Macaca fascicularis: one gene and its partners. Each later gene encodes a partner of the first gene's protein in a complex. Links are inferred from orthologs where the notes say so. Each region holds a gene or a part of one and is shown in the gene's direction. Other genes may lie near its edges.

What was found.
Region 2: CASP8 (region 1) and RIPK3 share a complex: the UniProt entries of both Homo sapiens proteins name them as parts of the AIM2 PANoptosome complex. The link is inferred for Macaca fascicularis from reciprocal best matches to the Homo sapiens genes CASP8 and RIPK3.
Region 3: CASP8 (region 1) and AIM2 share a complex: the UniProt entries of both Homo sapiens proteins name them as parts of the AIM2 PANoptosome complex. The link is inferred for Macaca fascicularis from reciprocal best matches to the Homo sapiens genes CASP8 and AIM2.
Region 4: CASP8 (region 1) and MEFV share a complex: the UniProt entries of both Homo sapiens proteins name them as parts of the AIM2 PANoptosome complex. The link is inferred for Macaca fascicularis from reciprocal best matches to the Homo sapiens genes CASP8 and MEFV.

Annotation. Positions count from the first base shown.
Region 1 is NC_088386.1:97,034,624-97,042,514, forward strand, and holds the start of CASP8 (caspase-8), read left to right. Parts: upstream 1-3,559; 5' UTR 3,560-3,706; coding exon 3,707-3,731; intron 3,732-5,918; exon of another isoform or gene 5,919-5,977; intron 5,978-7,891. UniProt on the Homo sapiens protein: Thiol protease that plays a key role in programmed cell death by acting as a molecular switch for apoptosis, necroptosis and pyroptosis, and is required to prevent tissue damage during embryonic development and adulthood.
Region 2 is NC_088381.1:92,152,128-92,160,319, reverse strand, and holds RIPK3 (receptor-interacting serine/threonine-protein kinase 3), read left to right. Parts: upstream 1-3,827; 5' UTR 3,828-3,992; coding exon 3,993-4,012; intron 4,013-4,221; coding exon 4,222-4,362; intron 4,363-4,496; coding exon 4,497-4,806; intron 4,807-5,258; coding exon 5,259-5,404; intron 5,405-5,530; coding exon 5,531-5,577; exon of another isoform or gene 5,578-5,615; intron 5,616-5,784; coding exon 5,785-5,952; intron 5,953-6,062; coding exon 6,063-6,130; intron 6,131-6,345; coding exon 6,346-6,720; intron 6,721-6,860; coding exon 6,861-6,921; intron 6,922-7,435; coding exon 7,436-7,656; 3' UTR 7,657-7,806; downstream 7,807-8,192. UniProt on the Homo sapiens protein: Serine/threonine-protein kinase that activates necroptosis and apoptosis, two parallel forms of cell death. Necroptosis, a programmed cell death process in response to death-inducing TNF-alpha family members, is triggered by RIPK3 following activation by ZBP1.
Region 3 is NC_088375.1:102,013,138-102,020,572, forward strand, and holds part of AIM2 (interferon-inducible protein AIM2), read left to right. Parts: intron 1-866; exon of another isoform or gene 867-868; 5' UTR 869-888; coding exon 889-1,150; exon of another isoform or gene 1,151-5,094; intron 5,095-5,677; coding exon 5,678-5,811; intron 5,812-6,653; coding exon of another isoform or gene 6,654-6,848; exon of another isoform or gene 6,849-7,159; intron 7,160-7,435. UniProt on the Homo sapiens protein: Sensor component of the AIM2 inflammasome, which mediates inflammasome activation in response to the presence of double-stranded DNA (dsDNA) in the cytosol, leading to subsequent pyroptosis.
Region 4 is NC_088394.1:4,046,034-4,054,099, reverse strand, and holds the start of MEFV (pyrin), read left to right. Parts: upstream 1-3,146; 5' UTR 3,147-3,206; coding exon 3,207-3,483; intron 3,484-4,983; coding exon 4,984-5,631; intron 5,632-8,066. UniProt on the Homo sapiens protein: Involved in the regulation of innate immunity and the inflammatory response in response to IFNG/IFN-gamma.

The DNA of each region.
Region 1 (7,891 bases):
GATCTCTGTGCTTCACAATAGGGATTCAACCAAACTGAGGTTTATAATTCACTTATTAACTCTTTTTATTTTTATTTTTTGTTGAGATGGAGTGTCCCTCTGTCACCCATGCTGGAGTGCAATGGTGTCAGTTTGGCTCACTGCAACCTCCTGGGCTCAAGTGAGACTCGTGCCTTGCTTGAGTGGCTGAGACTACAGGCACATGCCACCATGCCCAACTAAATTTTTTGTATTTTTTTTTTTTTTTTTTTTTACTTTTTTTGAGACGGAGTCTCACTCTGTCACCCAGGCTGGAGTGCAGGGGCAGGATCTCAGCTCACTGCAAGCTCCGCCTCCCGGGTTCAGGCCATTCTCCTGCCTCAGCCTCCCGAGTAGCTGGGACTACAGGCGCCCGCCGCCTCGCCCGGCTAGTTTTTTGTATTTTTTAGTAGAGACGGGGTTTCACCGGGTTAGCCAGGATGGTCTCGATCTCCTGACCTCGTGATCCGCCCGTCTCGGCCTCCCAAAGTGCTGGGATTACAGGCTTGAGCCACCGCGCCCGGCCAATTTTTTGTATTTTTAGTAGAGATGGGGTTTTGCCATGTTGGCAAGGCTGGTCTCAAACTCCTGGCCTCAAGTGATCTGCCCACCTCAATCTCTTCAAGCGCTGAGATTACAGGGGTAAGCCACTGTGCCTGGCCATAATTCACTTATCGGCCTTTTATATTTATATATGACATGACTGGGAGAATCTAGGGTCAGTGCCTTACAAATGGCACAAGTCGAAGCCCTGAGACTCTCACTCCCACCCTGCTCCCCCCATTCTCAGTACTGCCCCTCAGAGGCCTCCAGCAGCTCATCCATTTCTGCTAGACTGGGCCTGGGTACATGCCGGGAGATATGTACAGGGGCTAAGAGCAGAAACTCTTGAGTGAGACACTCCTGAGTTCATGCATTGGCCCTGCCATTTGTCAGCTAATTGACGTTGTATTTAATTGTATCATCTGTATGTAAGCCTAATAATTTGTAGCCCTCTTAGAGATGTTGTGAGCTTAAACAACATGGTAGTGAATAATTAATTAATTAATTAATTAATTTATTTGTTTTTGAGACAGAGTCTTGCTTTGTCACCCAGGCTGGAGTGCAGTGGCGTGATCATGGCTCACTGCAGCCTTGACCTCCCACACTCAAGTTATCCTCTCACCTCAGCCTCCTGAGTAGCTTGAGACAACAGATGCATGCCACCATACCTGACTAGTTTTTAAAATTTTTCTGCAGAGACGGTGTCTCCCTATGTTGCCCAAGCTGGCCTCAATCTGTTGGGCTCAGGCGATCCTCCTGCCTTGGTCTTCCAGAGTCCTGGGATTACTGGTGTGAGCTACTGCACCCACAGCCTATTTACTGAGAACTGTGGAAGGCCCAGGCACTATTCTAAGAGCTCCAGCTGTTTTATCTCCCACATTTTTGCTCAGGTAGGAGTTCCAAAGCTGGAGCTTGAAGACTCATATTTTTAGAAATTTTGCAGTGAATTCTGAGGTGGGTCAGATTGAGATTCATGGCTATGCATTCATGTTTAGGCGGTGACTAACTACTCAGGGTTTTAGAGACAAACAGACCTCATTCTGTCACTCACTGACTGAGCGGGGCCAAGTCTTTCAACCTCTCTAAGCCTCAGTGTCCTCATCTATAAAATGGGACCAATCATAGCATCCACTTCTGAGAACTGTTCAGAAGTGGAATGGAAATGAGCCAGTTTAGGTGGCTGTGTCTGGCATACACCAATGGTTTGATACGTATTAGCTTGTGCCTTTATTGGGCCAACTCCTTTTTGTTAGGTGACTGAGAAACCAAGGCCCTTCTGATCTTTATTCATCGTTCACTATTAGTTTAAATTTGTTGCTCTTCCATCCACATGATTCATTCCAAATCCTAAGTGTTGGAGAAAGGGAGTTAGTGTGTCATAGAAAAATCTCTGTTTTGGCCCAGCAGGACTGAGTTTGACTCCATGGAACTGTTTGAGCCTTAGTTTCTTCATCCATAACATGGGAGAACAATACCCTGAATTGCTGCAAGAATTAGAGATAGTTCATGTCAAGGTGTAACATACAGGTAATATGTTACTTCTGGTGTTCTGGTTATAAAATGTACAAGATGTGCAAGCAAAAGGGCAGAAAACCCTTTTTAAAAATTCATGGCTGGGTGTAGTGGCTCACACCTGTAATCCCAGAACTTTGGGAGGCCGAGGTGGGTGGATCACCTGAGGTTATGAGTTTGAGACCAGCCTGACCAACATGGAGAAACCCTGTCTCTACTAAAAATCCAAAATTAGCCACGCATGGTGGTGCATGCCTGTAATCCCAGCTACCCAGGAGGCTGAGGCAGGAGAATCACTTGAACCCGGGAGGCGGAGGTTGCTGTGAGCCGAGATGGCGCCATTGCACTCCAGCCTGGGTAACAAGAGCGAAAATCCATCCCAAAAAAAAGAAAAAAAAATTCACATGGGAAACAGAGGCGGATGGCAGAGAACAGGGGAGTGGCTGGGCACAGTGGCTCATGCCTCTAATCCTAGCACTTTGGGAGGCCAAGGTGGGTGAATTCCTTGAGGTCAGGAGTTCGAGACCAGTCTGACCAACATGGTGAAAACCCGTCTCTACTGAAAATACAAAAATTAGCCAGGCGTGGTGGTGGGTGCCTGTAGTCCCAGCTACTTGGGAGGCTGAGAGGCAGGAGAATCACTTCAACCCAGGAGGTGGAGGTTGCAGTGAGCCAAGACCGCACCACTGTACTGTTACATGGACAACAGACTGAGACTCCATCTCAAAAAAAAAAAAAAAAAAAAAAAAAAAGAGAACAAGGGAGGGTCTGGGGTTCAGAGCTTTGGGGAACAGACCTCAGTAGCACCAACACTCCAGGATCAATGCTACAAAGACACGGGTTACAACTAAACTGGAGAACATGGCCAAAGAAGGGAACTGAAGTGTCCTGGCTCAGCCCTATTTAGGGCTGTTTAGCTCTGTTTAGGGCTGAGCCAAGTAGGGCTGAGTCAGAACACTTCCTCCTTTTTTTGTGAACAGTCTACCTACATTTCAGCTACAGGGGTGGCTTCACCCAGTCCGTAGGGAGGGAGGAGAGGGCTGGTCTATGACTTCAGTGCTGAGGTTTGGATCAAGGCAGAGGGAAACTTCCTCTTCCCAGACCCTTTGCAAGGAAGAATGGCATATTACTTGTCACCGACAGGGGTTATGATTACTAAATGGAGTCAGTATAAATGCTTTCCAATAAAGCACGTCCAGCGCTCGGGGTTTTAGTTTTGCATGTCCATGAAATGTCTGCCACCTCCCTCTTCTGAATGGTTGGAAACTGGGCATCTGTTCCTTTAAATAGGAAACATTTCTTGTTCGGGTGAGTCATCTCCGTTCTGCTTTAGGAGTAAAATTTACCCTGCAGTTCATTCTGCTGTGAAGTTTTCTCTTTCTCTCGGAGACCAGGTTCTGCCCTTCTGCTGGAGGGAAGTGTTTTCACAGGTTCTCCTCCTTTTATCTCTTGTGTTTTTTTTTCAAGCCTCCTGAATTTGCTAGTCAACTCAACAGGAAGTGAGGCGGTGGAGGGAGGCAGAAGAGCCAGGGTGGTTACTGAAAGTAAAAGAAACTTCTTCCTGGGAGCCTGTCCCACCCCCTTCCCCACTGAGCACGTGGAGTTAGGCAGGTTAGGGGGCTCAGAGACTGCGATGGTGCCAGGAAAGGGTGGAGCGGGTGAGTGCCTGTTGCCGAGGTGGCCTCTTCAACAGGAAACCACATATTTTTGTTTCTTGACTTGCTCTAGAAACAGGGCTGTGGGGGCGGGGAAGAAGCTTGGATCTGCCCGGCTGAGGACACCTCTGGGTGCTGCCTGGCCAGGTCTCCTGTGGGGTTTCTCTCTGAGCTGTTGCCTCTGATCTTGCTACTTTTTCACTCTGAGCAGTCTCCATTTCCTCTGCTGCCTTTTTGTCCTCCCAGCTTCCCTACTGCCTGGAATACAGATACACAGTCTCCCTCCTGTGAACCCGTTTGGAGAGTCCAGAAAACTTTATCAATCCACTTTTTTTTCTTTTTCATTTGGCTCTGGGGCCGAGGGTTAAGTTCTTTATTCTGTCGAATCACAGTGCCCTGAGGTGCACAGACCGCTTACCCCTCTTCCGTGTCTTAAGGGTTTCCTTTTATGTCTCCACCCCCACCCCTGCCCTCCTGCCCTCTCTCTTGCTCCCCAAAGATAATTCTCTAATGTTTTGATGTGGATTCGTGAATTTATCTGTATCTTTGCAAAATGTATTTTTCTTTTGTATATGTACACTGTTTTTTAACTATGCCATCTCAGGCAAGTAAGTAATTCCTCTGTACCTCTGTTATCTCATTGTTAAATGGGATTAATAATGCCTTGAGAGGTGACTGTGAGGCTTGAAGGAGATAATACGCACACATCACTTACTACATGAGTTAGCAATTATTATTGCATATTAATACTATTGGCATTTTATTTTACTCATTCTGTTTCTATTTCTTTTTTATTTATTTATTTTTTGAGACAAGATCTTGCTTTGTCACCCAAGGCTGGAGTGCAGTGGTGCAATCATGGCTCACTGCAGCCTCGACATCTTGGGATCAAGCAATGTTCCCATCTCAGCCTTCAGATTAACTGGGACCACAGTCGTGTGCTACCACACCTGGCTAATTCAAAAATTTTTCTTCATAGAGATGGTGTCTCACTATGTTGCCCAGGCTGGTCTCAAACTCCTACGCTCAAGGGATCCTCCCGCCTTGGCCTCCCAAAGTGCTAGGATTACAGGCATGAGCCACTGTGGCCATCCAGGCATTGATGTTATCAGGCCACCTTGACCTAGCCCTCTCTGGTGAAGAGTCCTTTTCAGATACTTCATTCAGTCTTCTCAGCTATGAGTCCCTGCCCTCTGAAAGCTTATATTCTATTTGGGGAAAGACAAAAGGCAGTTTCAAAGAAGAGAGGTGCTTGATTTTCTTTTCCTACTTTTAACATCAGAAAACATTTCGTCTAACTCTCAGTATGAAGGCAATCTTTTGTTTACTGATCTGTCCCTAGAGCCCAACATGGTGAGGGCCCCAGGATTTGCCTCTTTGATAAGATGGTAAACCCATCTTGTGGCTGACTTCGTGGTGTCCCCAGCTACACTCATATACAAGGATCACCTTTGGTAAGATAGGGTTACCATCTTACCAAAGAGTTTTTGCATTTTAGAGGTTTTTCTTTTTAGATTTTTTTCATTTTAGAATTTTTTTATTTCAGAGTTTTTTTCTTTTTAGAGGTTTTTCATTTTAGAGTTTTTTCTCTTTTAGAGTTTTTTTTTTTTTTTTTTTTTTTTTTTTTTTTTTTTTTTTTAGAGTTTTTTAGGCGGCTGAGAGTGGAATCTGGTGACTTGGGGCCACAGAGATGCTCCTTGGCTAAACCAGGGGCTTTAGCTCTGAACGTTCACAGTCACCCTGAGAACAAAGATGAGGGCTCTACGATGTCCAATCTCAAGACTTCTCCGAGGTGCTCCATCAAGATTCATTGAATGAAAAAATTAAAGTCTTAATGATGAACCCAGAAAAATCTTTAAATCCTAAATACGAAATGAAAGTGTTCTTAGTTACAATCCAGTTCAACGTCCTCATTTTGGAATGTGGAAATGAGGCCCCAAAGGTAAAATGGCCCATCATAGCCAGGGGCCAGTGCTCAGGTGGCCAGATGCCCCGCCCCACCCTGCAGGCAGTCTCTTGGACCATCAGGCCTTTTTCCTCCAGCTTTAGAAGCTTTAGAAGGTGCTCTGTTCACTCAGGGGCAAGTGGTAAGCGTTCCCTCCCCTCTAGTGTTTGTGACTTAGGAGTTTCGAAACAGGAAGTACAGCTGGCTGTGCCCTTCATCCTTCATTAGACGTTTGCTCTTGTCTTAGATGCTCAGATGGCAGTGGAGAGGCCTGTAACAAAGGTGTTACCATCGTGAGAGTAAGGTAAGGATTTGCCCCTTTGTTAAGGTCAGAGGGGCCTTTTGGGAGAAGGCCTTTGATTCTGGAGTTTTTTAGGCTGCTGAGAGTGAGGTTGGGTGGCCCTGGGGCTATGGAGGTGATCCTCGTATGTGAGTGTGGATGGGAAACCATGAAGTTAGTGGAAGAGGTAGCAGTCCCTCTGAGAGCCTTGCCGAGGGCCGTGCAGTTTCCAGATCTTGAGGCCAGTCTGGCTTAGACTGATTAAGTGCTAGGAGTTTCTGAAATGCTGCCATTTACCTACTTGTATAAAGGCTTCATCCTGATCCCAGCTAAATTTGTGAAACAAAGAGTAGAAGCCAAAATTTAAATCTCAACTAACTTTGCTGCTACAGCTATCCTCCCACCAACACACATACCCACCAACATACACATTTGCCAACATAAACACACACACACACACACATACACACACCCATGTGGTCCTACTAATTCAATTATTTATGTTTTAAAGAAATTTAAAAAGGCTGGGCGCAGTGGCTCACACCTGTAATCCCAGCACTTTGGGAGGCCGAGGCGGGTGAATCACCTGAGGTCAGGAGTTTGAGACTAGCCTGACCAACATGGAGAAACCCTGTCTCTACTAAAAATACAAAATTAGCCGGATATGGTGGCGCAGGCCTGTAATCCCAGCTACTCGGGAGGCTGAGGCAGGAGAATTGCTTGAACCTGGGAGACAGAAGTTGTGGTGAGCCGAGATTGTGCCATTGCACTCCAGCCTGGGCAACAAGAGCAAAACTCCGTCTCAAAAAAAAAAAAAAAAAAAAGAGAAAAGAAAGAGAAATTAAAAAGATACAGAACAGTTCAAAAAACAATATAATGGGAAGACTAGATGGACAAAATCGGAGACCTGCACTTGTGGGGTTAAGCATTTACGGGTGAAGTTGCAAGTTTCATTCTGTTTGACAATGATGGGATTATGTGTTTTGTTGAGGTTCGGACACCTTTGCTGGGTTGTTAGAACGCCGTGGCTGCAGTGCCCTGTTATGGACACCATGTGCATGCAGAATGGATGTCTGTTAGGTTCGGGGGCAGCCCACAGTGTGAGGCAGGCAGCCTGGACCCGAAGGAGTGGCAATACTACCTCCTGGTTAGGGGTTTGGGCCTGAGAGCGAGTGGCTTTCAGGTTCTCTCAAGCTTCGGATGAGATGCAGGTTTCTGTTTCTGACAGTGAATGCGTGTTTTGCTTTTTCCCTACCTGTGGGGTAGTTATCACTGCAAGAGCTAGGACGCTGCTAGAATATTACTGGAGTGATTGTGATGAGATGGAATGTATTTGCAGTTTAATTGTGGCATGTAATACAGTGGTAGAATGGGACTCTGGAATGAGATGCTGGGGCCTAGATTCTAGCACTTCCTTTGTGAGGCTCTGACCCCCTCTCTCCTACAGTGGATTTGTTAAGAACTTCTGTTTTTGTGGTTTTGTTGTTATATATATTTTTGAAATGTTATTCTCCAAAAATGTTATGATTTTATGTTTTTCTTCATGAGATTCTTTCACCGCCTTCCAGCTGCAAGTAGAATGGCGTCTAAATCTTTGCGATCTGTCATTGAAGCCCTTGAGTGAGATACTTAAATCTGGCTGTGGCTCTCTCTCTTACTAGCTTATTTCCGAGCCGTGATTTTTCACAACAGAAAAATGGGGACAATAATGGTAGTTTCTTCAGAGGCTTTTAGTGAAATGAGGTTAAAAAATATTTTTATGTTTATGTGGATATATAGGTTATAAACATTTATATATCATTTATTTATATGATTATTATAAATACATATTTATATTTAAATATTTTGGGGCATAAATATATAAAATAATTATACTTATGTAATACAAATAGACTTATAATATACATTTACTATTTAGCAGAGATTATATAAAATATA
Region 2 (8,192 bases), on another chromosome or scaffold:
GAGGCCAAGGTGGGCGGATCGCCTGAGGTCGGGAATTTGAGACCAGCTTGATCAGCATGGAGAAACCCTGTCTCTACTAAAAATACAAAATTTGCTGAGCCTGGTGGCACATGCTTGTAATCCCAGCTACTAGGGAGGCTGAGGCAGGAGAATAGCTTAAACCTGGGAGGCAGAGGTTGCAGAGAGCCGAGATTGTGTCATTGCACTCCAGCCTGAGCAACAAGAGGCAAATTCCGTCTCAAAAAAAAAAAAAACAAAAACAAAAACAAAAAACAAAAACAACAACGACAAAAAAAATTAGTCCCAGCATTTTGGGAGGCCAAGGTGGGCGGTTCACCTGAGGTCACGAGTTCGAGACCAGCCTGGCCAACGTGGTGAAACCCCGTCTCTACTAAAAATACAAAAAAATTAGCTGGATGTGATGGCAGGCGCCTGTCATCTCAGCTACTCGGGAGGCTGAGACAGGAGATTGGCTTGAACCCGGGAGGCAGAGGTTGCAGAGAGCCGAGACTGCGCCGTTGCACTCCAGCCTGGGCAACAAGAGCGAAACTCCATCTCAAAAAAAAAAAAGAAAAGAAAAGAAAAGAAAAATTAGTGAGCCACTGTCTCTCATTTCTAAGGGTCTGACATGATGTTAATTAGTTTCATGGTTAAACTTACTGGGAAATTGCTGTTTCTTCCTGTGTCTCATGCGTTCATTCTGGGATAATTTTTTTTTTAATCTTCTTTGTGCACATCCATTAGAAACTTCTTTAGGAAAGTGACTGTTCGTAGTAAACTCAGTTTTCATTTATTTGAAAATGTCTTTTTTTCTTTTTTTACCTGTCTGTAAATATAAAATTGTATACACACCAAAGTTATCTTTTTCAGGAACACTTTTCCTGTCTTTGAGCACCTTAAATTATTTCAACGTCTTCTGGTTTTTACTTGGCTGTTGAGAAGTGTATTTCCAGTTTAGTTACTGCTGCTTTGTAGATGATCTATGCTTTCTTTTTAACCTTTAATGTTGTTTATTTGTGTTCACTGTTCTGCAGTTTCACTGAGGTATAACTAGAGTGAATTTCTTTATATTTATCCTTTTTGGCACAACTATATTTGTGTATATTTGACTTTTTATATTTGCTCATTTATTTATTTAGAAACAGGGTCTTGCTCTGTTGCCCAGACTGGAGTGCAATGGTGCAATCATAACTTACCATAACCTCCAACTCCTGAGCTCAAGCTCTAACCCTAACCCTAACCCTAACCCTAACCCTAACCCTAACCCTAACCCAGCTCAGCCTCCCAAGTAGCTAAGATTACCAGAACTGGCAACCTTTTATTTTAATTTTTATGTTGTAGAGATGGGGTCTCACTATGTTGCTCAAGCTGGTCTTGAACTCCTGTCCTCCAGTTATCCTCCCACCGTGGCCTCCCAAAGCACTGGAATTACAGGTGTCAGCCACTGTGCCCAGATGGATCCTTGTCTTTCATCAGTTATTGAAAATTGTCAGTCATTTTTTCCTTAAATATTGCCTTGCCCCATTTTTAATTTTTCGCTTCTCTTCTCATGGGATTCCAATTTAACATGTTAGACCTACTCATTCTTTGTCTCTTAACTTTTCTATTTGCTCATCTTTGCTGCATTCTGGAGAATGTCTGCAGATTCATCTTTCAGTACACTAATTCGTTCTTCAGCTATATCTTCTGTTTAACCAAAATCTACAATTTCAATTTTAATGGTTACATACATTTTTCATTTCTTGATGTTTTATTTTTTGTAAATATATCTGGACATTGTTTATGATCTCTAATGCCTTGCTCTTTTATTTCTCTACTCTATTTTTTATTTCTTTAAACATTTTACAATAGCTTCTTTAGTTTCTTTATCTGATTATTCCAAACTCTGAGTTTCCAAATTCCAAGAATCAACCTGTGCCTAGGTCCACCCCCACACCCCCTTGCTGGAAGCTGAGGGTCCTGTTAGGCACTTACTCTAAGGTTCTTCTCCCTGCTCTTCCTTCTTTTAAAGGGGCTGTTTATTTTGAGTCAAAAAGTTGTATAGGCCCTGATACCACACCCAACTTTGTGCTTCACAGTAGTTTATCCCTGATTCTCAGGGTCTCATACCAATCTGAAGAAACCCGGTTATAACACCTTTCCAACTCCTTTTTGCCTGCTTCCTTCAAGTGGAGATACTGAGCCTGGGTTATTCTCTCCAAAAAGAATCACAAAGGGAGTGGCTACCCCTTTTGATGGTTCTCAGCTTCTGACTCTAGGCTTTTCTGAGGACCTGCTACACTTCTTGCCTTCTTGGATTCTGTGTGATACCACCATATCTCTATACTAAAGCCTACTTCAGACGGATTTCATGAACTGTGCAGGTGAGAGCCCTCAGTCCCTATAGGAACCCGATCTCCTCTTTCCTCCTACTGAGTATGGAGCTCCATCTAGGATGATCAGTGCCTTAAAAGAGGCTTAATATTTTTGGTTGTTCATTTATTCATTCAATTCAACAAATATTTATTGGGTATCTGCCATGTATTGGCTTTTAAAGAGACTACAGTTGAACAATTCCCTAAATAGCTCCAAAATAGCATGAGCTGACCCTACCAGAAGCCATGGTGTAGCTCTCCAGGAGTTGTTCTAGAAAAAACTGCTGATCACTTCTGCCTCAACCAGAAGAGCCCATGGACCGCTGAACAAAATGGAAAGCAAGTACCAAGGTGAGCCCCTTTTAGTGAAAGCCAACACACAACCCACAGGGTTGAGTATCCCTGTGAAGGACTGAGTGCCTAGGGCTGGCCCTATCGGGTTCCCACAACCTCCAGTCATGGTCAGACCTCCAAAAGGTAAAATATGGACACCTTTTTTCTGCCCTAAATCTTTAAGACTCTCCATGCTTCTGGGTTATCAAAAGCCTGTGTCCAGAGCATGTGCTTGTCAGGAACATTAATTAGGGTATTTGCATGCAAGAATTGTCATGCAAGAGAGAGGGCAGGAAAGCTCTGAATTGTTTCCACTGCAGTGTACACCACAATGTCACCAACTCGCTGGATGGGCTGGTATATCTAGCCTTACCACAATGCCCTTGGAGTGGGTTTGGGGTCTGCCAGCTCAAGGAGCTCCTGTTCATAGGGCATATAAGTCCCTATGAACATATAAGTCCCAAGGAATACAAATAGGGATCCTTCACTACATCGTTGGATGCTTCACAACTTTCCCAGCCTCCTGCAGGACCAGCTGAGTGGTCCTGCAACCTATGTGAAAACAGGTGAAACCTATGTGAAAACAGCCCTGAAACCTATGATGTGAAAACAGGATAACTTGATGGTTCAGAGCCATTATTTCCATATGGGCTTAGGCAAGGTACTTAAACTCTCAGTGTCTCAGTTTCCTCATCTATAGAAAGGTAATAAAAGCAGTACCTATCCCCTTAGGGTTCGTGTGAGAATTAAATAAGCTAATCTATGTACCTGGTGCATGATAAGTTTTATATATGCATTGGCTATGATCTTAGGGCAGCTATGAGAGAGCTGAGCCCTAAAACCATAAAACCTGCCTAAGCACCATCTCCACTCATGGCCTGGCAGGTGGTGGAGCAGGAAATCCTGTGGGAAAAGAGAAGGCTTTGACTGTAGGAGTGGGTTGATTGTGGGTTCCTGGAAGGTGAGGACCCATTCCCTAACATCCTCAATGCCCAGCCACACCTAACCTGGCCGCTGCATGCGGCAGGCACTCAGGAAACGCTAGTCAGGGAGAAAGACACTAGCTTTCGCTTTGCCCCCTGCCCCACCCCAGGGGCGGGACTGTAGAGGCGCCTGTAAGGGAAGTTGTTCAGTCAACTCAGAATACGGGTAGCAACCCGGAAAGTGGAGTCACCGTCCTGGTCTAGAGACTGATCCCTGCAGAGACAGATCCCTTCCCCTCTCTGCCAAAGACCGCAGCCCCAGAAGTCATTCCATCTCCTACTGCTCGCAATTTCCAGAGGCCCCCTCGCACCTTCCAGCCTGATGTCGTGCGTCAAGTTATGGTGAGTAGGGAGAGGCATGTCGATCGCAGCCTCCGACATTCACACCCAGAGCGCCCCACGGACTCGCTCAGAGAACGCCTTTGAGTCTGGAGACGGTGGGGGCCGGCGAGAGAGGCCGGGGATTGCAGTAAGAGCGCCGAGTCACAGGGGCGCGGGGAGCAGCGCTGGCGTAGGGCACTGCCGGCTAGTGGGCGACACCCCTGTCTCAGGCCCAGTGGTGCCTCCGCCTCCTTGGTGTCCATCGAGGAACTGGAAAACCAGGAGTTCGTCGGCAGAGGCGGGTTCGGCACAGTGTTCCGGGCGCGATATAGGAAGTGGGGCTACGACGTGGCGGTCAAGATTGTAAACTCGTGAGTGACCCCTGTTGCCCCCCCGGCCGCAATCTGGCCAAAAAGGTGGAGCCACTGTGCTCTGGGGCCTGAATGGGGAATGGAGGGATTTTTCCCACGACCCCGGGTGACTCCAGCTCTCTCCTGGAGTGTAGGAAGGCGATATCCAGGGAGGTCAAGGCCATGGCAAGTCTGGATAACGAATTCGTGCTGCGCCTAGAAGGGGTCATCGAGAAGGTGAACTGGGACCACGTGCCCAAGCCGGCTCTGGTGACTAAATTCATGGAGAACGGCTCCCTGTCCCGGCTGCTGCAGCCCGAGTGCCCTAGGCCCTGGCCGCTGCTTTGCCGCCTGCTGAAAGAAGTGGTGCTTGGGATGTTTTACCTGCACAACCAGAACCCGGTGCTCCTGCACCGGGACCTCAAGCCATCCAATGTCCTGCTGGACCCAGAGCTGCACGTCAAGGTCAGCTGCTCTACACCCCTCTCAGCCTCAGGACAAGGTCCCACCCCAGAGCAGCTCCAGCCAGGCCCACTGGACACCAGACCTCCAGAGCCCTGTCTATTGAATAGGCGTAGCCTCTCCCTCTGGACACAGGGCTGCCAGGGCACAAAGCCCAGCCAGGAGTTTTAGCTCCTGCCATACCAGGTGATAGAGGCCCCGACCCACACGAGTCCTTTCCACCAGCTGCCCCACCAACCCCTCCAAAGAGTCATGGCTGACCCAGCCCTGGAGACTCACACCTTGACCCAGCCCTACCACAGGCACCTAGATCTACTATCCAAGGGAGCCTCTTCCCTTGACCTCCACACTCCCTTTACAAAGCTGAACCTGAACCTTCTGGGGGCAAGGGGGTTTCTGGAGGCTGCCTGGCCCCCTTGTCTTCCCTACCTCCCACTTCTTTCCTTCCTTTGCAGCTGGCAGATTTTGGCCTGTCCACATTTCAGGGAGGCTCACAGTCAGGGACAGCATCCAGGGAGCCAGGGGGCACCCTGGGCTACTTGGCCCCAGAACTGTTTGTTAATGTAAACCGGAAGGCCTCCACAGCCAGTGATGTCTACAGGTAAGGATCCCAGCCCAAACACACAGCCGGGATTCCTACACTTCTCTGGGCCCTCCCAGGGGGTGATGTATAGGAAAGGAGTCTTGCCAGTGATTGGACTGGTCCTCAGCTTTGTGTCTCCTGCAGCTTCGGGATCCTAATGTGGGCAGTGCTTGCTGGAAGAGAAGCTGAGTGTAAGACTCTAGGCGGATTCTGGGATCCTTAACCCCAGGTGCCCTTCTCTTGAAAGCCCCAAAGCTTCCCCTTCCTGCTCACCTACTAAGACTGCCCTCCTCCATCCTTGTGCTCCCACATTACACTCCCTGCCTCTTTCCATGATGGAGCAGATATTCCCTTTTACCCTGAATGCCTTCTCTTCTCACCCTCCTCCCCTACTCCAGTGCCAACAGAAGCATCACTGGTGTGTGGAGCAGTGTGCAGGAGGCAGACCCGGCCCTCATTGACTGAGCTGCCCCAAGCTGGGCCTGAGACTCCCGGCTTAGAAGGACTGAAGGAGCTAATGCAGCTCTGCTGGAGCAGTGAGCCCAAGGACAGACCCTCCTTCCAGGGTGAGCTGGCCAATTAGCTGGATCTGGGGTAAGCTTGGGTCTGTCAGCATGGGGCTTTCCTCAGGAAAAGAAGATTTGCTCACCTGCAACCCACTCTGCTGTCCCTCTAGAATGCCTACCAAAAACTGATGAAGCCTTCCAGATGGTGGAGAACAATATAAATGCTGCTGTCTCCACAGTGAGCGCCAACATCACCCCTCTCCAGGAGCTGGTCAGGGATGGCACAACATGGCTACCTGGCCATCCAATGACTCACCATTAACCACAGCTTTTTTATGCCTTGACCTTTGTCCTCACCCTCCCCAGCCCACCCCTGAGTTCCAAGAGACTACTCCCTTGGGTTTACTCTGGCTCATCCAAGTCATACCCAGCAAACTCCTCCCATCCCTGCAGGTAAAGAATTTCCTATCTGAGCTCAGGAGCAGCAATCCGAGATTTTCTACCCCCGAGTCAGGCCAAGGAGGGACAGAAATGGATGGCTTTAGGAGAACCACAGGAAACCAACACTCTCGTAATGATGTCATGGTTTCTGAGCTGCTAAACAAACTGAATCTAGAGGGGTCTCCCAGCTCTGTTCCTGAAAAATACCCGAGCCTTACCAAGAGGAGCAGGGCACAAGAGGAGCAGGTTCTGCAAGCCAGGACAGCAGGGACATCTTCAGATTCAGTGGCCCAACCTCCCCAGACTCCAGAGACCTCAACTTTCAGAAACCAGATGCCCAGCCCCACATCAACTGGAACACCAAGTCCTGGACCCCAGGGGAATCAGGTGAGACATTGGCAGGATTAGGGGATGCACTAAGAGTCCTATAAATGCTGTCCCCTTGCCAGGCAAAACTTGGGGCTGAGAGGAGTGCACTGGGCGGTCCAGGCTCCAGGACAGAACTGGATGCTCTGTGATGTTTGCAGGGCGCTGAGAGACATGGCATGAACTGGTCCTCCAGGACCCCGGAGCCAAATCCAGTAACAGGTACCCACTCTCCACCTCTTTCTTTTCCCTGTTCAATTCTTCCATGAGACTCCTCCTCCAGATCTATATCTAGATTCAGGGTACTTTCTGGAGGCGAGGGGAGAAGATCATCTAACTCAACCTCATTTCATAAATGGGAAAACTGACACCCCCTGAGAAAGGAGCCCTCTGAGGTCACACAACGAAGCTTGGATTTTTCCCTGAGTTTTCTAACTTTCCACAGCATCAGCTCTGTGAGCCCCCTAAGTTCCATTGTTTCAGCAGTCCAGAGGACTTCCCAGCAAAAAAGATCAGGGTCTCAAATGTCAATTGCTACTCTCTAGAGCTTCTGCTAAGCCAGTTCTGGAGAGGAACTCTGAAGGGAAGGGCACAGGACACACCTTAACACAGTCATTTGGGCGACCACTCCACTCAAGGCCAAGCTGGGGGTGGAGACCTCATACTCCCCACCCACCCCCAACTTGGCCTTTCTGACAGCTAAACCCTCCTGCCACCATCACTATTTCTCTTAAAGGGCGACCACTCATTAACTTACACAACTGTTCTGGGGTGCAAGTTGGAGACAACAACTATTTGACTATGCAACAGACAACTGCCTTGCCCACAGGGGGCCTGGCACCTTCGGGCACGGGGAGGGGCTGGCAGCACCCCCCACCAATAGGTTCGCAAGAAGGCCCTGAAGAACCTGAAAACTGGAGCGGGCCACATGGTTGGTATAATCATAGTGGAAAATAAAGCACCTTCAGAGCTTGCCTCCAAGAGTTACGAGTTAAGGAAGAGCGCCACCCCTTGAGGCCCCTGACTTCCTTCTAGGGCAGTCTGGCCTGCCCACAAACTGACTTTGTGATCTGTCCCCCAGGAGTCAATAAACATGATGGAATGCTAGCCAAAGTCTGAGCTCAGCCAGGGGCCGGGAGGGACTGGGATGGGGGTGGGAGCTGCCAGTGAGGGATAGGGAGGCACCACAACTCTGCTATGGCAGGAAGCGGGGATGCTGGGGGCTGGGAGTGGGCAACGGCCTGGCACACAAGGTCAGGGCACAGCCGGCTACAACAGGAAGGAATCCCAGAGGCCTGGTTCCCCAGACCACTCTAATCTCAGGGCAGTGCTTCCTTTAAAGCCTAGGATGGCGACCCCACCCTAACCCTAAACTCTGGGGATAGAGGCTGTGGTCCCTTTTCTTCTGGGCTCTCAACTCAGTTGCAGCGCTCTGGGAAGGGATGAGTGGGTGTGAAAGATCACAGACCAGGCCCCCCACGGTGCCCTCAGGT
Region 3 (7,435 bases), on another chromosome or scaffold:
GAACTTTGAGTCATTGCTTATACTATATACAAAATAACTCAAAACGGTACATACACCCAAATAAAATGATTAAACCATAATATTTTTAGAGGAAAACATAAAATCTTCTCATCTTGAGATTGGAAAAGATTTCTTAAATAAGACAGTGAAAGCATGATCCATGAAAGAACAAATTGATTAATTGCACTTCATCAGGTATATGTATATGCGAAAATTTATCAGATTGTATACTTCCAATATATGCACTGTGTTGTATGCCAGTTATGCCTCGATAAATCTATTTTAAAAATAAAAGGAAAATGTATCCTGTTTCCTTTTTGTTGTAGTGTTTTGTTTGTTTGTTTGTTTTGAGACAAAGTTTTGCTCTTGTCGCCCAAGCTGGAGTGCAATGGCGCGATCTTGGCTCACTGTGACCTCCGCCTCCTGGTTCAAGTGATTCTCCTGCCTCAGCCTCCTGAGTAGCTGGGATTACAGGCCCCCACCACCACGCCCAGCTAATTTTTGTATTTTTAGTAGAGGTGGGGTTTTGCCATATTGGCCAGGCTGGTCTCAAACTCCTGACCTCAGGTGATCCGCCCGCTTTGGCCTTCCAAAGTGCTGGGATTACAGGCGTGAGCTACCATGCCCAGCTGATGTATCCTGTTTTCTAAGAATTCCAGAGGTGTTGTATACTTTCTGAAGATGTCTTTCCCAGGAATAGGGATCACCTTGCTTAAGAAGTTCTTACCTATGTCCCATTCAAATCTCTTTTACTACTGCAAACATTTTGTTTATTTTTCTTTAAAAATATTAATAGCTCACCTTGCTTTATTTTGAATGTAGAATCCCTTTTGGTGTTGTAATCTTACATGCTTTGGATTCCTTATAGGTTGATCCCAAAGTCGTCAGATGGAGAGTAAATACAAGGAGATACTCTTGCTAACGGGCCTGGATAACATCACTGATGAGGAACTGGATAGGTTTAAGTTCTTTCTTTCAGACGAGTTTAATATCGCCACAGGCATACTACGTACCGCAAACAGAATACAAGTAGCTAACTTGATGATTCAAAATGCTGGTGCAGTGACTGCAGTGAAGAAGACCATTCTTATTTTTCAGAAGTTGAATTATATGCTTTTGGTAAAACGTCTTAAGGAAGAGAAGGAGAAAGGTAATGTGGTAGTCCCGCACCTGCCCAGTCCCTTTCTCTGCCAAGCCTGGGCCTTTCCTTTCATGGCGTCCCTGGGATATGACCCCCAGTGCACACTGTTGGAATTTGTTTGCTAACTTAGTGCACCTGTCTCTTTGCCCCCTTTTACTGAGAATCACTTGTAGGAAGTGTTTGTTACAAATTCCACAAATCCATTCCAGCCTTGGTTTGCATCTCTTGTTCCAGCCTTTAGGGTGACCACTTCCATTTATCATCTTTTCTCCTTGCCCATCTTTGTCTCCAGTTCAATTACAGTGAATATGGATGTAGAATTTCAAAGTTAACTTTTCCCAACTCCATTTCCACAGTATGTAATGCTCTCACATTCTACTGAAGTCTCAAAAATATAAATTATTGCATTGGAAAATTGTAAACCAGGATATTGAGCACCTTTTTTTCCTTCACACAGTCTGTTTATTTCTCTCCATGTCCCTATCTTTCTATGGTCCCAGACTATGCTGCTTTCTTTAGGGAATGATCTCCTCCTTCTTCAGGGAGGGAGAATCCTCCTTCAGGGATTCTCTCTCCTCTCTATCTCCAGTGACAGTATAAATTACCCACAGCAAAAAGACTTTTTTAACATCATTCAATAAATCACTCATCATCTCCATCTGAATTATATACATTTAGTTTAAATTCCTGATTTTGTTTACTAAGAACAATTGATACGTCCCGGCTTTATGTCTGAAGAACAAAAAAGAGCTAACAAAGGAGCATATCACTCCAGGACTGTCCCAAATGAGAGTCTCCAAATGCAACAGTTTTAGGATTCAAAGTAAAACCGTAACAGCAAAGATTACAACAGCTTTTAATAGCATTTGTGGGTGTACAACACGGTGACATGGCTTCTCACACATGGTTTATAAGAAGGTTAAATGAAGCCACATAAGTGATACTATGTAGGTCCATAATTCTATACAGATGTAAACTGTGAGGTAGTTTCTAAGGCACTAATGAGAAAGGAGTGGTTGTTTTCCCAGGCTTTAAGTTAGAAGGTGTAGTTCTTTAAGATGGCCCTTAGATGGCAGTAACTACCCATGTTACTTCCATGTAACCAGCTGCCCTGTGTTTCTTATCTGGGATGAGACAGGAATCTATTGGCAAACATAGGCTGAGATATTTAGAAATATCTTCTATTTTGGCAATAAATCAAGAATTAATTCTTCTCTTTGACCAGGATAGCACAAAATTTCCCCTTCTACAATCTTCTCCCCATTTTGCTGTTCTAATGATTCTGGGATTTTGTTATTCTACTTAGCTAAAAAAGATCCAGTTTGGGACTAACTTGGAGACTCAGGAGTAGATCATCCAGAGGCTGTCCCAAATGAGAGTCTCCAAATGTAACAGTTGTAGAATTCAAAGTATGCTTTTGGGCCAGGTGCAGTGGCTCACACCTTTAATCCCAGCACTTTGGGAGGCCAAGGCAGGTGGATCACTTGAGGTCAAGAGTTCGAGATCCGCCTGGTCAACATGGTGAAACTTTGTCTCTACTACAAATACAAAAATTAGCCAGGCATGGTGGCAGGCGTCTGTAATGCCAGCTACTCAGGAGGCTGAGGCACGAGAATCAACTTGAACCCGGGAGGCAGAGGTTGCAGTAAGCTGAGATCATGCCTCTGCACCCCTGCCTGGGCAACAATAGTGAGACCCTGTCTCAAACAACAACAACAACAACAACAACAACAACAACAAAACACAAAGTATGCTTCCTGCATGCTCTACAAGAAGGCAACTGAGTTCCTTCATCGCTCTCAAATTCCATCCGTGGACATACTTAGGCCTCTTTTGAATGTAGGAAATTTTTGTGTGTCCATGCTATTTCTATTATTGTATGAAAAGCTTTTGTTTCATTTTTTTTGAACAGTTACTATCATTCTTGTTTAAGTGATCCTTCTCTGTTGCCATGGCATGTCTGCATGTAGAGTGCTATATGCTCTTCTACTCACAACCTCACCCCATGGAAGGTAGAAGATACCTGGAGAATCTTTAATGAAGACAGAGGCAATAATTAGTAGAGAGGAGAAGCTTTTGTATGAAGCAAGATGAGAAAATACAAGGACTCATAAGCATAGAAAAAGGAAGCGAAGAGAAAATGTGATCACAGTCTACAGAAGTCCTGCAAGATTAAAATAAAATGCTGAAAATGATAAATGAGATAATCAGTAACAATGTCCACCTGATTATTAAGGCAAATGAGAGATTTATAGTGGGCAGACAAGCTTGTCCACAAATATTGGTACCACGGTGTGTGAGATGAAGTATGGCTGATGTGATGTGGTAGAACGGTAGGTTGATTCCCTTGGCCTCCTTGATGCTGTTTTCTCGCCGATGCTGTGAACATAGAAGAGACTTTATCTGCATACCTTTCTGAAACCAGTTGCATGGAACTAACTTATCATTAGAAGGTTAGTGTAACTTCTTTCTAGAGCAGAGATCCTGCTACAATATCCCTGTCAGACAGTCAACCACTTTCTGATCTTTGAAAGGTAATGACAGAGTACCTACTGCCTCATAAAACAGTATCGTTTCTGTTTTTAGTAAAATCAAAGTGATTGCCTTGCTATTTCAGCCCAGAGTTGTTCAAATTCTATCAGAAATGACATCTAATAATTTCTCAGGCCCTCTTCTGCCTGAGAGTGCCTTAAGTCATTAAACACGACCATCTTGTTACATGGTCTTTTTAAAAATCAGGACTAGGAGTTGGCTTTTCACAATAACATATAACCTGACCATAGATGTGGAGGAGCCCAGCCAAAGTATACAACTGCATTTTGTAGGCATTAGTGAGGAGCCAACATGCCACCCATCCATCCATTTCTTCATCCATTCAGTAAATATCTATTGAATTGCTAATAGGTACAAGGAAAGCTTTTAGGTTCTTATGATAAAACAAGGTGTTAAAAACAAATCCAAATTTTATACAGCTTCTATTCTAAAGGGAAAGTAGATATTTTTCTTACAGGAAAATTTATGAATGTAATTAATTGAGACAAATGCTCTAATGGAAAGGAAGATGGTTCTTCAGCAGCATGTGTCAAAGGAGCATTAACATAAGCCACGAATTAGAGTTGGTGTTGGTCAAAGTGGGTTCCATAGGGAAGTGACCCTTGCACTAAGCTCTGAAAAATGCATAGGAGTTAAAGGTACCTTCAGTCAGAGGGAACACTGTGAAAATCCCTATGACAGCAGGTGTTGACCTGCTTGAGGACTGAAAGAAGGCCAGTGTAGCTGGAGTACAGAGAGTCTTCAGAGGGCAGGATGGGGTCCCCTCGATAGAAGGACAAGGCAAGGCCTTGTAGAACATAATTAGAAATCTGTGGCCAGGTGCGGTGGCTCATGCCTGTAATCCCAGCACTTTGGGAGGCTGAGGTAGGCGGATCACAAGGTGAGGAGTTTAAGACCAGCCTGACCCACATGGTGAAACCCCGTCTTTACTAAAAAAATACAAAAATTAGTCAGGCATGGTGGCATGAACCTGTAATCCCAGCTACTCAGGAGGCTGAGGCAGGAGAATCACTTGAACCTGGGAGGTGGAGGTTGCAGTGAGACGAGATTGGGCCACTGCACTCCAGCTTGGGTGACGGAGTGAGACTCTGCCTCAAAAAAAAAAAAAAGAAAAGAAAAGAAATCAGCCCTTGTTTCATAGCAGTAGTTTATTCATTTTCACTACTACATAAGATTCCATTTAATTGATAATTACATACACATATAAACTCATATACATATACATATATAGAGAGAGAATTGGTCTATTTTTTATTGTTATTTTAGTCATTTGAGGCCATTGTGAAAAATGCTGCTATGAATATTTATTATAAGCCTTATGTACTTATCTTTGTATGTTTGTATTTGTATGTGTGTTTCTCTTGACTGTACACCTGTGAATGGAATTACTGGATGTTAAGGTAAGTAGATATTGAATTTCAATAAATAGAGTCCCAAACCATTTTCCAAAGTGTTATACCGATTTAAGACTAAGACTTCATAGTTTCTTTTGTTTTTTGTCTTTTGTTTTTGTTTTTTGTTTTTTTTTTTTTTGAGACAGACAAGGTCTCACTGTGTCATCCAAGCTGGAGTGCAGTGGTGTGATCACGACTCACTGCAGCTTTGAACTCCTGGGCTTAAGTTATCCTCCTGCCTCACCCTCCCAAGTAGCTGAGACTGAAAACATGTGACATTGCACCTGGCTAATTTTGAAAATATTTTTTATAAAGATAGGGTCTCCCTATGTTGACTAAGCTGGTCTCAAACTCCTGGCCTCGGGTTGATCCTCCAGCCTTGGCCTCCCAAAGTGCTGGGATTACAGGTGTCTGTGCCAGGTCCAGTTTCTTTCATTTTAAAACAAGATTTTTTTTTTTTTTTAGAAAAATTAACTGCTCTTGAAGATATCTTAATATGGTTTTAGTATTTATTTCTGGTGACATTTGAAAATGTGCACTGCTCATATGTTTATATGCTTATTGGCCATGTCTTCCATTTTTTAATCAGTTGATAAGGAATACAAATCGGTAACAAAACCAAAGCCACTAAGTCAACCTGAAATGAGTCCTGCTGCATCTGCAGCCGTCAGAAATGATGTCACAAAGCAACGTGCTGCACCAAAAGTCTCTCCTCATGTTAAGGTAGGATGAGGAGAGTGGAGTGGTCTTTGTCCTTGTAAGAGCATCACTGTCACTGTCATTTCCCACATTGTTCTCTGTTCTTTATCTCAGAGCATGCAAATAAGGGAATTAAGGCCACAGTGTGAAAAGCACTCTGAGTCACAAAAACAGGAACTACCTCTGATTAATCAGATTAAACACCTGTTGAGCTTCTAATCTCTGTCAGGGCCTGGACACATTAACACTCTGTTATGGTTTGGATTCTATAAGACGAAAACTCTGAGATAGACAGTTGTTTACAGGAAGTCTATTTTAGAGCACTTTCAGAATTAGTATCTGTGAGGAAGTGAAAGGAGTAGAAGAGGAAGAATGTCAAGTCCAATATAGTTGCAATAGAGGCCTTGGCCTACCCCACAGGGAGCTCGGGAGCTGAGAATGCCCTTCAGGGCTCCCAAGACTGGTGGGGGAGTCTGTGGTTTGCACAGACCCAGGCTCTGGGTCACATCAGAGATCTATTGCAGAGACTCTTACACTCGGCCTGGCATGCCTCTGTTTGTTTTCCCCTGTATTTTCCCTTAGTTCTTGACAGCAAATTGCTTTTTAAAAGTAATGTAAAAAAGCCCTTTATACACCTGCATGGACAAGGTGAGGTGGCCCTGTTTAGCTGAGAGAGTAGTGCCTGAAGAGTCTCATTGATGAGAATGATTACTTTAGTCCTGAGGGAGCGGCAGGCAATATCGGAAAGGCCCAACACAGAATCCACCACACATGCAATTTCATTTCCTGTGAAGCAGGTGTTACACCATTTTATAGCTGTGTGAGCTCTAGAAACTGATTACACATACTTCATTCTCTTTGTCTAGAGGAGCCATTTCCTCTGGGTTTGGCCCAGAAACTTCTGGATTTTTCAGAAAACAAGGTTCAAGTATACATGGTGTGATTCCATCACCAGTAATGAAAATGTGCATCATTCAGTCTGGAAGACTCAACTAAAGATACATGGACCAAAGAGGACTTTTGTAGTGGAACTCAGTGGAACTGACCTTTACCTGCATTGATCCAAATGCAGTCAGTTATACTGCCCGTCAGGGCCCCTTACTGGCCCCAGCTCCACTGGCCCAAGCTTCAGGTCACATCGGAGACAGCCTTCGAGACTCCTACACTTGACTTTTTATGCCTCTGTTTGTTTTTCCCTGTATTTCCATTTGGTTCTAGATGGCAAGTTGCTTTTAAAAAGTAGTATTTTCTCCCAAAACAAACCAAAAAAGGTATCTTATCTCTGTTAATTCAGAAAAATAAAAAACACAGAGAAGCGAATAAAATTACCTATAATTGTATCATCTAGGAAAAAAATATTGATGTTGGTAAATATCTCTGTAGTGTGTTTGTGTATGTGCTTTAACTGCTTATTTATCCAAAAAGAAAGAGATTTTTTATCTGTTTAGGACCTTTCCCTTTATTGAGTCAGTTATAACAGTTTATCACATTATTTCTCTAAAGCATTTTTAATATTTGTATAGTAATCTATTTGTGACTATACCATATTTTGTTTAACCAAATTCTATTTTTTATGTATTTAAATTATTTCTTTTTTTATAATTTCAAATAATAAGATATATTTTTAAAATGTAAACCTTAGTGCATA
Region 4 (8,066 bases), on another chromosome or scaffold:
AATTACAGGCGTGAGCCACCGCACCCGGCCTGAAACACTTTTTAAAGCTATCTTTTTTGCTCATTACGAATGTAATACAATCTTCATTTTTTGAAATCCCAAAATGTGCAGAAGAGAATGCCATAGAAAGTGAAACCCCAGGTGACCAGGACTGGAGTGAAGGTCGTGGTGTCCGAGCCACACATTTCCCAGGAATAACAGCAGAGAGTGGACCCTTTGCAGCAGCTTCGTAGGGTTTAGATTTGCCATGTCCCCCCAAATAAGGTCACACATCCAATGGCAGGGGCACACAAGAGAGCCCATGACCATTCCACTTTGATTATTAAACATTTGAATGACATTACAAGGGCAATAATTCTATTTTCACTCTGAGAAATTACCGGAACCCCTCCAAACAAAAGCTTTGTGAGCCTGCCTTGCCCTAGAAAGTCCAAAGTGGCATCAAAACACTGCCTTCCAGAAGTCCTGCCTCAGAACAGCCTCTGTTGCAAAACGTGTCACCACAATTGCAAAATATCCTGCTTTAGACCAGAAAGTATCGTTCCCTGCCCAATTCTGTCATGGCGTTTTGGTCTCAGTTCCGAGGAGTTTTCTGACCAGTCAAGATGGGATCACACAGCACCCACAGCGTCACTGCACAGTCCCATCCTTTCTCCATCTGGTAGTGGGAGACTGCCTGGGAGGTGCTGGGTTGCCACTGTCCAGAATCAGGGACAGGTGCTGGCCCCAGTGATACCCTAGTCAACACCCTTCTTCTGGCTCAGCCTAAAAATTCCAAAAATCTGTCGTCTGCACCATCAATGTGCATTTCACCCATGGTTTTTTTCTTTTCTTTTTTTTTTTTTTTTTTTTTTGAGATAGGGTGTCTTGCTCTGTCACCCAGGCTAGAGAGCAGTGCAATCACAGCTCATTGCAGTCTCAACCTAGGCTCAAGCAATCTTCCTGCCTCAGCCTCCTGAGTAGCAGGGACCACCAGTGTGTGCCACCACACCCAGCTAATATTTTTTCTATTTCTTGTAAAGGCAGGGTCTCCTTATGTTGCCCAGGCTAATGTCGAACTCCTGGGCTTAAGTAATCCTCCTGTCTCAGCCTCCCAAGGGCTGGGATTGCAGGTGTGAGCCACTACACCCAGCCCAATTCACCCACTTTTTAGAGAAGATGTTGGGCTCAGAAAGATCTAGTGAACTGCATGTTTGTTGTCAGCTATGAAAATAAAGCAAAAGCATCAAATACTCTGTGAAACAGAAAACAGGTGGACCAGCTGGATAGTAAGTAAAATTCAACCAATCAGAACTCATCAAAGCCTTGAACCCCTGGCTGGGCACACACAGAGGCACTCACACCCAGAGATGAGTGTTCAGCTAGGCATCACAATGTTGTGACTGACCTGTGGAAGTGACCCATCCTGGACCTCAGTGGTCAGCTGGAAATGTGACATCCATGGGTAGTCATGAATAATAAAAAGTAAAATCACAAATTATTGTCATGCAGGAGACGATGTTGTGAAGTGGTTTGATGTTTGGATCCTGGCTCTGGGCAAGTCACTAAGCTACAGATTCTTGGCTGCAGAGGAGGATGATAAATGCAGTCCTGCAGGGTACAGTCCTAGAGATTCTAGGAGGTAGTGTTTATAAAGCAAGTGGTGGCTGGTGCAGAGGAAGTGCTGGTGAAGGGTAAACTGCATTATTAACAAAACTTCTGGACGGGCACAGTGGCCAGATTACAGGGATTACACACCTGTAATCCCAGCACTTTGGGAGGCCAAAGCGAGTGGATCGCTTGAGCTCAGGAGTTCAAGACCAGCCTGTGCAACATAGTGAGACCCTGTCTCTATAAAAAAATACAAAAATTAGCCGGATGTGGTGGCATGCAGCTGTAGTCCGAGCGACTTGGGAGGCTGAGGTTGGAGGGTTGCTCAAGCCCAGGAGGCAGAAGTTGCATTGAGCCAAGATCCTGCCACTGCACTGCAGCCTGAGTGACTGAGCAAGACCCTATCTAAAAACAAAAAATTAAAAAATTAGGGTATGCAAGTAATTTTTTATTTTTTTGAGACAAAGTCCCGCTCTGTCGCCCAGGCTGGAGTACAATGGCACAATCTCGGCTCACTGCAACATCCGCCTCCCGCGTTTAAGCGATTCTCCTGCCTCAGCCTCCCGAGTAGCTGGGAATACAGGCGCGTGCCACCATGCCTGGCTAATTTTTGTATTTTTAGTAGAGATGGGGTTTTACTATGTTGGCCAGGCTGGTCTTGAACTCCCAACCTGAGGTGATCCACTCACCTTGGCCTCCCAAAGTGCTGGGATTACAGGCGTGAGCCACCACGTCCAGCCCCCGACATGTAACTTCTGTTAGCTTCAAAGCCACCTCTGGGGCCCTGCACCAGACTATGAGCTGAAGGACACCCGTGCCTTTTCACCCCTGTAGCTTCAGCATCCTGGCACACTGTCTAGAATGTTCAGTGAATGTGCACGGAAGGGCATTCTGGCTCCAGGGAGTGAGAACTGAGTCAGCTCTGGGAACAGATGAGTCAGGCTGGTGGTCGAGGCATTGCTTTTCAAGCCCTTCATGTGGCTGGAAGAACCAGACAACTGGAACTGGATCAACAGGGGTGATGGCGTGGCAAGAGTTACCCCCGGCAGTGCCCTTCTGGCCTCACTTGCCTTCTTGGGCCAGGAAAGGCAAAGCTCACGGGGCTGTATTTACTGCCCACCCCTTCCCCCATCCCATGCCATTGGCTCTGGAGGGTCTGTGAAACCCTGAGTCTGGAGGAGAACAGTTGACCAGCAGGGCTGGCCCTCAGCATAGTCCTCTCTGTTCCCATTCACCCGCTCTGCCAGCCCCAGATCCTGGCAGGAAGGGAGATTGGAGGGGTTGTCTGGAATCAATCCTAGACCTTCCCTTGCAGACTTGCCCACCTGTCTGTGGTCTAGTGTGGAGATGAGGTCCAGGGTTTGGGAGGGGTGTGGGGACAGATGTCTGCCAAGGCACTGAGCCCTCCCAGCTGGAAAATCCTCTGAACCTGTGAGAAGAGAACACAGCCAGCATGGACACACCCTTACCCTTAGTCTCAGTTCCCACCAAGACACAGAGCATTTCCTGTGCCTTTTCCGCTATTTCACAACCTACTTTTTCTTGCTCACCAAGGTAGAGGCTTCTTCTCCTGCCAGAAGCCAGACAGCTAGCTCCAGCGTCTCCTGCTCAGCGCCATGGCCAAGACCCCTAGTGACCATCTGCTGTCCACCCTGGAGGAGCTGGTGCCCTATGACTTTGAGAAGTTCAAGTTCAAGCTGCAGAACACCAGTGTGGAGAAGGAGCACTCCAGGATCCCCCGGAGCCAGATCCAGAGAGCCAGGCCAGTGAAGATGGCCAGTCTGCTGGTCACCTACTACGGGGAAGAGTACGCTGTGCGGCTAACCCTGCAGGTCCTGCGGGCCATCAACCAGCGCCTGCTGGCTGAGGAGCTCCACAGGGCAGCCGTTCAGGGTAAGCGGGCCCAGGCTGCCTCCTCACCCAGCACTGAGGCCTGGTTGCTTTGTGGGAAAAGGGACCAGGAGCTCAGAGCAGCTCACTCTGACTTGGGGGTCGGGAGTCTCAGGTCTACCAAGATCCAGGTGACTTTAGTTCAGGAACGTCCCTTCCTTCACTCTGGCTTTTGGCACTGGGTTAGTAAACTTCCTTAAGGCTCCCAGTGGGTTTTAAAGAAGCAGGTCAGGGTCAGGAAAGGCAGGAGCTGGAGCACCTATTCTTTGAGACTTCTTCACTTCATTTATGATTAATACTCATGTCAGACAAACATCTCTAGGTTAGCAAAAAGGGATTGCTATGCAATCGTATGAACGGGGCTGGTATAGAATCTTTTCAGTGCTGTTCACCATGTTGGCCAGGCTGGTGTCAAACTCCCGACCTCAAGTGATCCTCCTGCCTCAGCCTCCCAAAGTGCTGGGATTTCAGGCATGGACCACCGTGCCTGGTTTATTTTTATTTTTGAAATGTATAATCTGGGTTTTGCTGACCTGTGTAAGATCTTATTTGAAACAGTTGTCCTGCTTACAACGTTTGAAAAGTACTATTTGAGGAATACATGGTGGCTCACACTTATAATCTCAGCACTCTGGGAGGCTAAAGTGGGTAGATTGCTAGAGCTCAGGAGTTCGAGACCAGCCTGGCCAACATGGTGAAACCCTGTCTCTACCAAAAATACAAAAAAAAGAGCCAGGTGTGGTGGCACACATCTGTATTCTCAGCTATTGAAAAAACAGAAAACAGGCTGATGTGAGAGGATCGCTTGAGCCTGGGAGGCAGAGGTTGCAGTGAGCCGAGATCACATCAGGGCCACAAAACAAGATCCGGTCTCAAAAAATAAAATAAGAGAGAGATAAATATGTAGCAACATCAAGCATGTTCTTACTGAATGGTAATTGACTGCCATTGTCTAGGAAGTCCTGAACTTTTGTTTTTGAAATGGAGTCTCGCTTTGTCACTCAGGCTGGAGAGCAGTGGCGCAATCTCAGCTCACTGCAACCTCCACATCCCAGGCTCAAGCGATTCTCATGCCTCAGCCTCCAGAGTAGCTGGGACTACAGGTGCACACCACCACGTCTGGCTAAATTTCGTGTTTTTAGTAGGAACGTGGTTTTGCCATGTTGGCCAGGCTGGTCTCGAACTCCTGACCTCAAATGATCCTCCCAACTTGGCCTCCCGAGAAGCTAGGATTACAGGCATATGCCACCACGCTCAGCTTATTTTTGTATTTTTAGTAGAGACAGGGTTTCACCCTGCTGGTCTTGAACTCCTGACCTCAGGTGATCCTCCCGCCTCAACCTCCCAGAGTGCTGGGAATACAGGTATGAGCCACCGTGCCCGGCCCGTTTTTTCCTCCATTTCTAAAGTTTAATATCCATGGGGATTCTCTCTCCTCTCCCCTGAATCTTGGGCCCTAAACGTGGGACAGCTTCATGACTTTGTAGCTGGTTGTCTTTCCAGAATATTCCACACAAGAAAATGGCACAGACGATTCCGCAGCGTCCAGCTCCCTGGAGGAGAACAAGCCCGGGAGCCTGAAGACTCCAGACCACCCCGAGGGGAAGGAGGGAAAGGAGGGGAACGGCCCTCGGTCGTGCGGGGACTGGGCTGCCAGCCTGCGGTACAGCCAGCCCGAGGCCGGGAGGGGGCTGTCAAGGAAGCCCTTGAGCAAACGCAGAGAGAAGGCCTCGGAGAGCCTGGACGTGCAGGGCAAGCCTCGAACCCGGAGCCCGGCCCTGCCGGGCGGGAGAAGCCCCGGCCCCAGCCCCTGCAGGGCGCCAGAGCCAGGCCAGGCCGAGGTCCTCCTGCGCAGGAACGCCAGCTCCGCGGGGAGGCTGCAGGGGCTGGCGGGGGGCGCGCCGGGGCGGAAGGAGTGCAGGCTCTTCGAAGTGTACCTGCCCTCGGGAAAGAAGCGGCCTAAAAGCCTTGAGTTCACCATTTCCACAGGGGAGAAGGCGCCCCCAAATCCAGAAACTCTCCTGACTGTAGAGGAAACGACAGCTGCGAATCCGGACTCGGCAACAGGCGCTCAGGCAAGGCCCACTCCGGATGGAGGGGCGTCTGCGGACCTGGAGAAAGGCCCTGGGAATCCAGAACATTCGGTCACCGGTAAATTGTGTTTTTTCCTACTTTATATCGGCTGCAAAGAAAGAACAGCTGGCCGGGCACGATAGCTCATGCCTGTAATCCCGGCACTTTGGGAGGCCAGGGCTGGAGGATTGCTGAGGCCAAGAGTTTGAGACCAGTCTGGTGAACATAGTGAGACCCCCGCCATGTCTATAAATAAAATTAAAAAAATAAAAACCCAAAGGTTGGACAGGGCGCCATAGCTCACGCCTGTAATCCCAGAGCTTTGAGAGGCCTGAACGGGAGGATCTCTTGACCCCAGGAGTTCCATACTAGCCTAGGCAACACAGTGAGACCCCATCTCTACAAAAAATACAATAGTAGCACTTGCCTGTAGTCCCAGCTGCTCGGGCTCACTTGAGCAGGGGGAGTTCCAGGCTACAGTGAGCTGAGATCATGCCAGTACACTCCAGCCTGAGCAACGTAGCAAGATTCCACTTCTACAAAACTAAAAAAAAAAATTAGCTGGGTGTGGTGGCACATGCCTGTAATTCTAGCTACTCGAGAAGCTGAGGCAGGATGATTGCTTGAGCCAGGGAGTTCCAGGCCTCAGTGAGCTGAGGTTGTGCCACTGCACTCCAGCCTGGGCAACACAGCAAGACCCCGTCTCTTAAACATTTTGGGGGGGTAAAAAAAGAAAGAAAGAACGTCCAATTGAAAAAGGCAGTCAGGTTTTATTCAGTGGCCAAAGAATAGAGAAGGGGAGCTCGCCTCTGCAGGCATCTGCTTGCCAGGGATGGGAGGCAGGGGGATTTTAGAGTCCCAGGAGGGGAAGGGAGGTAGGTAAGCAGGTCCAGGGCAGGGTTCCATACATGAAGGCGCTGTCCCCAGCGTGCTTTTTCCTACATCGCATGGACATGAAACCCTGGCCATCTTCTTTTAGGGGAGGGGCCTTTAGCCTTATAATGATGTGTAAATGATCTAAAGGTAACTGGAAGTTACCTGTTCCAGTTTGCACTGGTTTTGCTCTGAACTTCCTCTGGTTTTTGGCAAGGGATCAGGCAGCTCCAGGCCATCTGGATTTTTTAAAGCAGCTGTCCCTATAGGTAAAGAGACCAGAGAAAAACTGTAAAAGAAAAATGCCATCAGTTTAGAGGGGATTGAGGTTGTCCAGGTGACAATTCCATGCTTGTGGTGGGGGCAGCATTCAGAAACACACCTTCTTTTTTTTTTTTTTTTTTTTTTTGACACAGAGTCTCAGTCTGTCTCCCATGCTGGAGTGCAGTAATGTGATCACAGCTTACTGCACCCTCAACCTCCTGGGCTCAAGCGATCCTCCCACCTCAGCCTTCCGAGTAGCTGGGACTATAGGTGCTCATCACCACACTGGTTTTGTTTTTTTGTTTTTGTTTTTGTTTTTTTTTTTTGTACAAAGGAGGACTCGCTATGTTGCCCAGGCTGGTTTTGAACTCCTGGGCTCAAGCAATCCACCTGCCTTAGCCTCTAAAAGTGATAGGTGTGAGCCACTTCACCCAGCCTATGGAACACACTTTCTAATACATTGTTCGCTGGAGAGGAGAAATCACAGCATTCAAAGAGGAAAAATAGAACTGGGGGTCCAGGCCGGATGTGGTGGCTCATGCCTGTAATCCTAGCACTTTGGGAGGCCAATGGGGGCAGATCACCTGAGGTCAGGAGTTCAAGACTAGCCTGCCAACATGCTGAAACCCCATCTCTACTAAAAATTCTAAAATTTCCGGGCGTGGGGGCAGGTGTCTGTAATCCCAGCTACTCAGGAGGCTGAGGCAGGAGAATTGCTTGAACCCAGGAGGCAGAGATTGCAGTGAGCCGAGATCACGCCATTGCACTCCAACCTGGGCAACAAAAGCAAAACTCTGTCTAAAAAAAAAAAAAAAAAAAGATCTGGGGGTCCAGGGACCCCTGAGACCTGGGAGGGAACAGGACGTGGTATACTGCATAAGTCTTCAAATCCAGAAGTCCCTGGGTCTTCTGGTGAGAAAGGACCCTGGGATCTGGAAAACCTAGCATCCTTAGGAATAGTGACCTGAAAAGTACTAAAGTACTTCCCCCCTAATTTTCTTTTATCCCCACTGTATTTTTTTAAATTTTTATTATATATATATTTTTTTAGATATGGGGTCTCGCTATGTTGCCCAGACTGGTCTCGAACTCCTGATCTCAAACAATCCTCCCATCTTTGCCTCCCAAACTGCTGGGATTACAGGTGTGAGCCACTGCACCGGATCCCCACTGTATTTATATAATTGGGATTCCTGGGTGCCTCCTGGGGCCACTTTGTTAATCTGGTGCAGGCTTAGACCCTGAAAAATGCATATATGCACAGCTTCACAAATGTCACATCAAATTTCAGGTAGTTCTTGGACACTCTGAAGTCCATCTTTAGAATCCAAGGGGTTTGTGGACACCAGGTAGAAAATCTGGGGAAGACTGGTTAA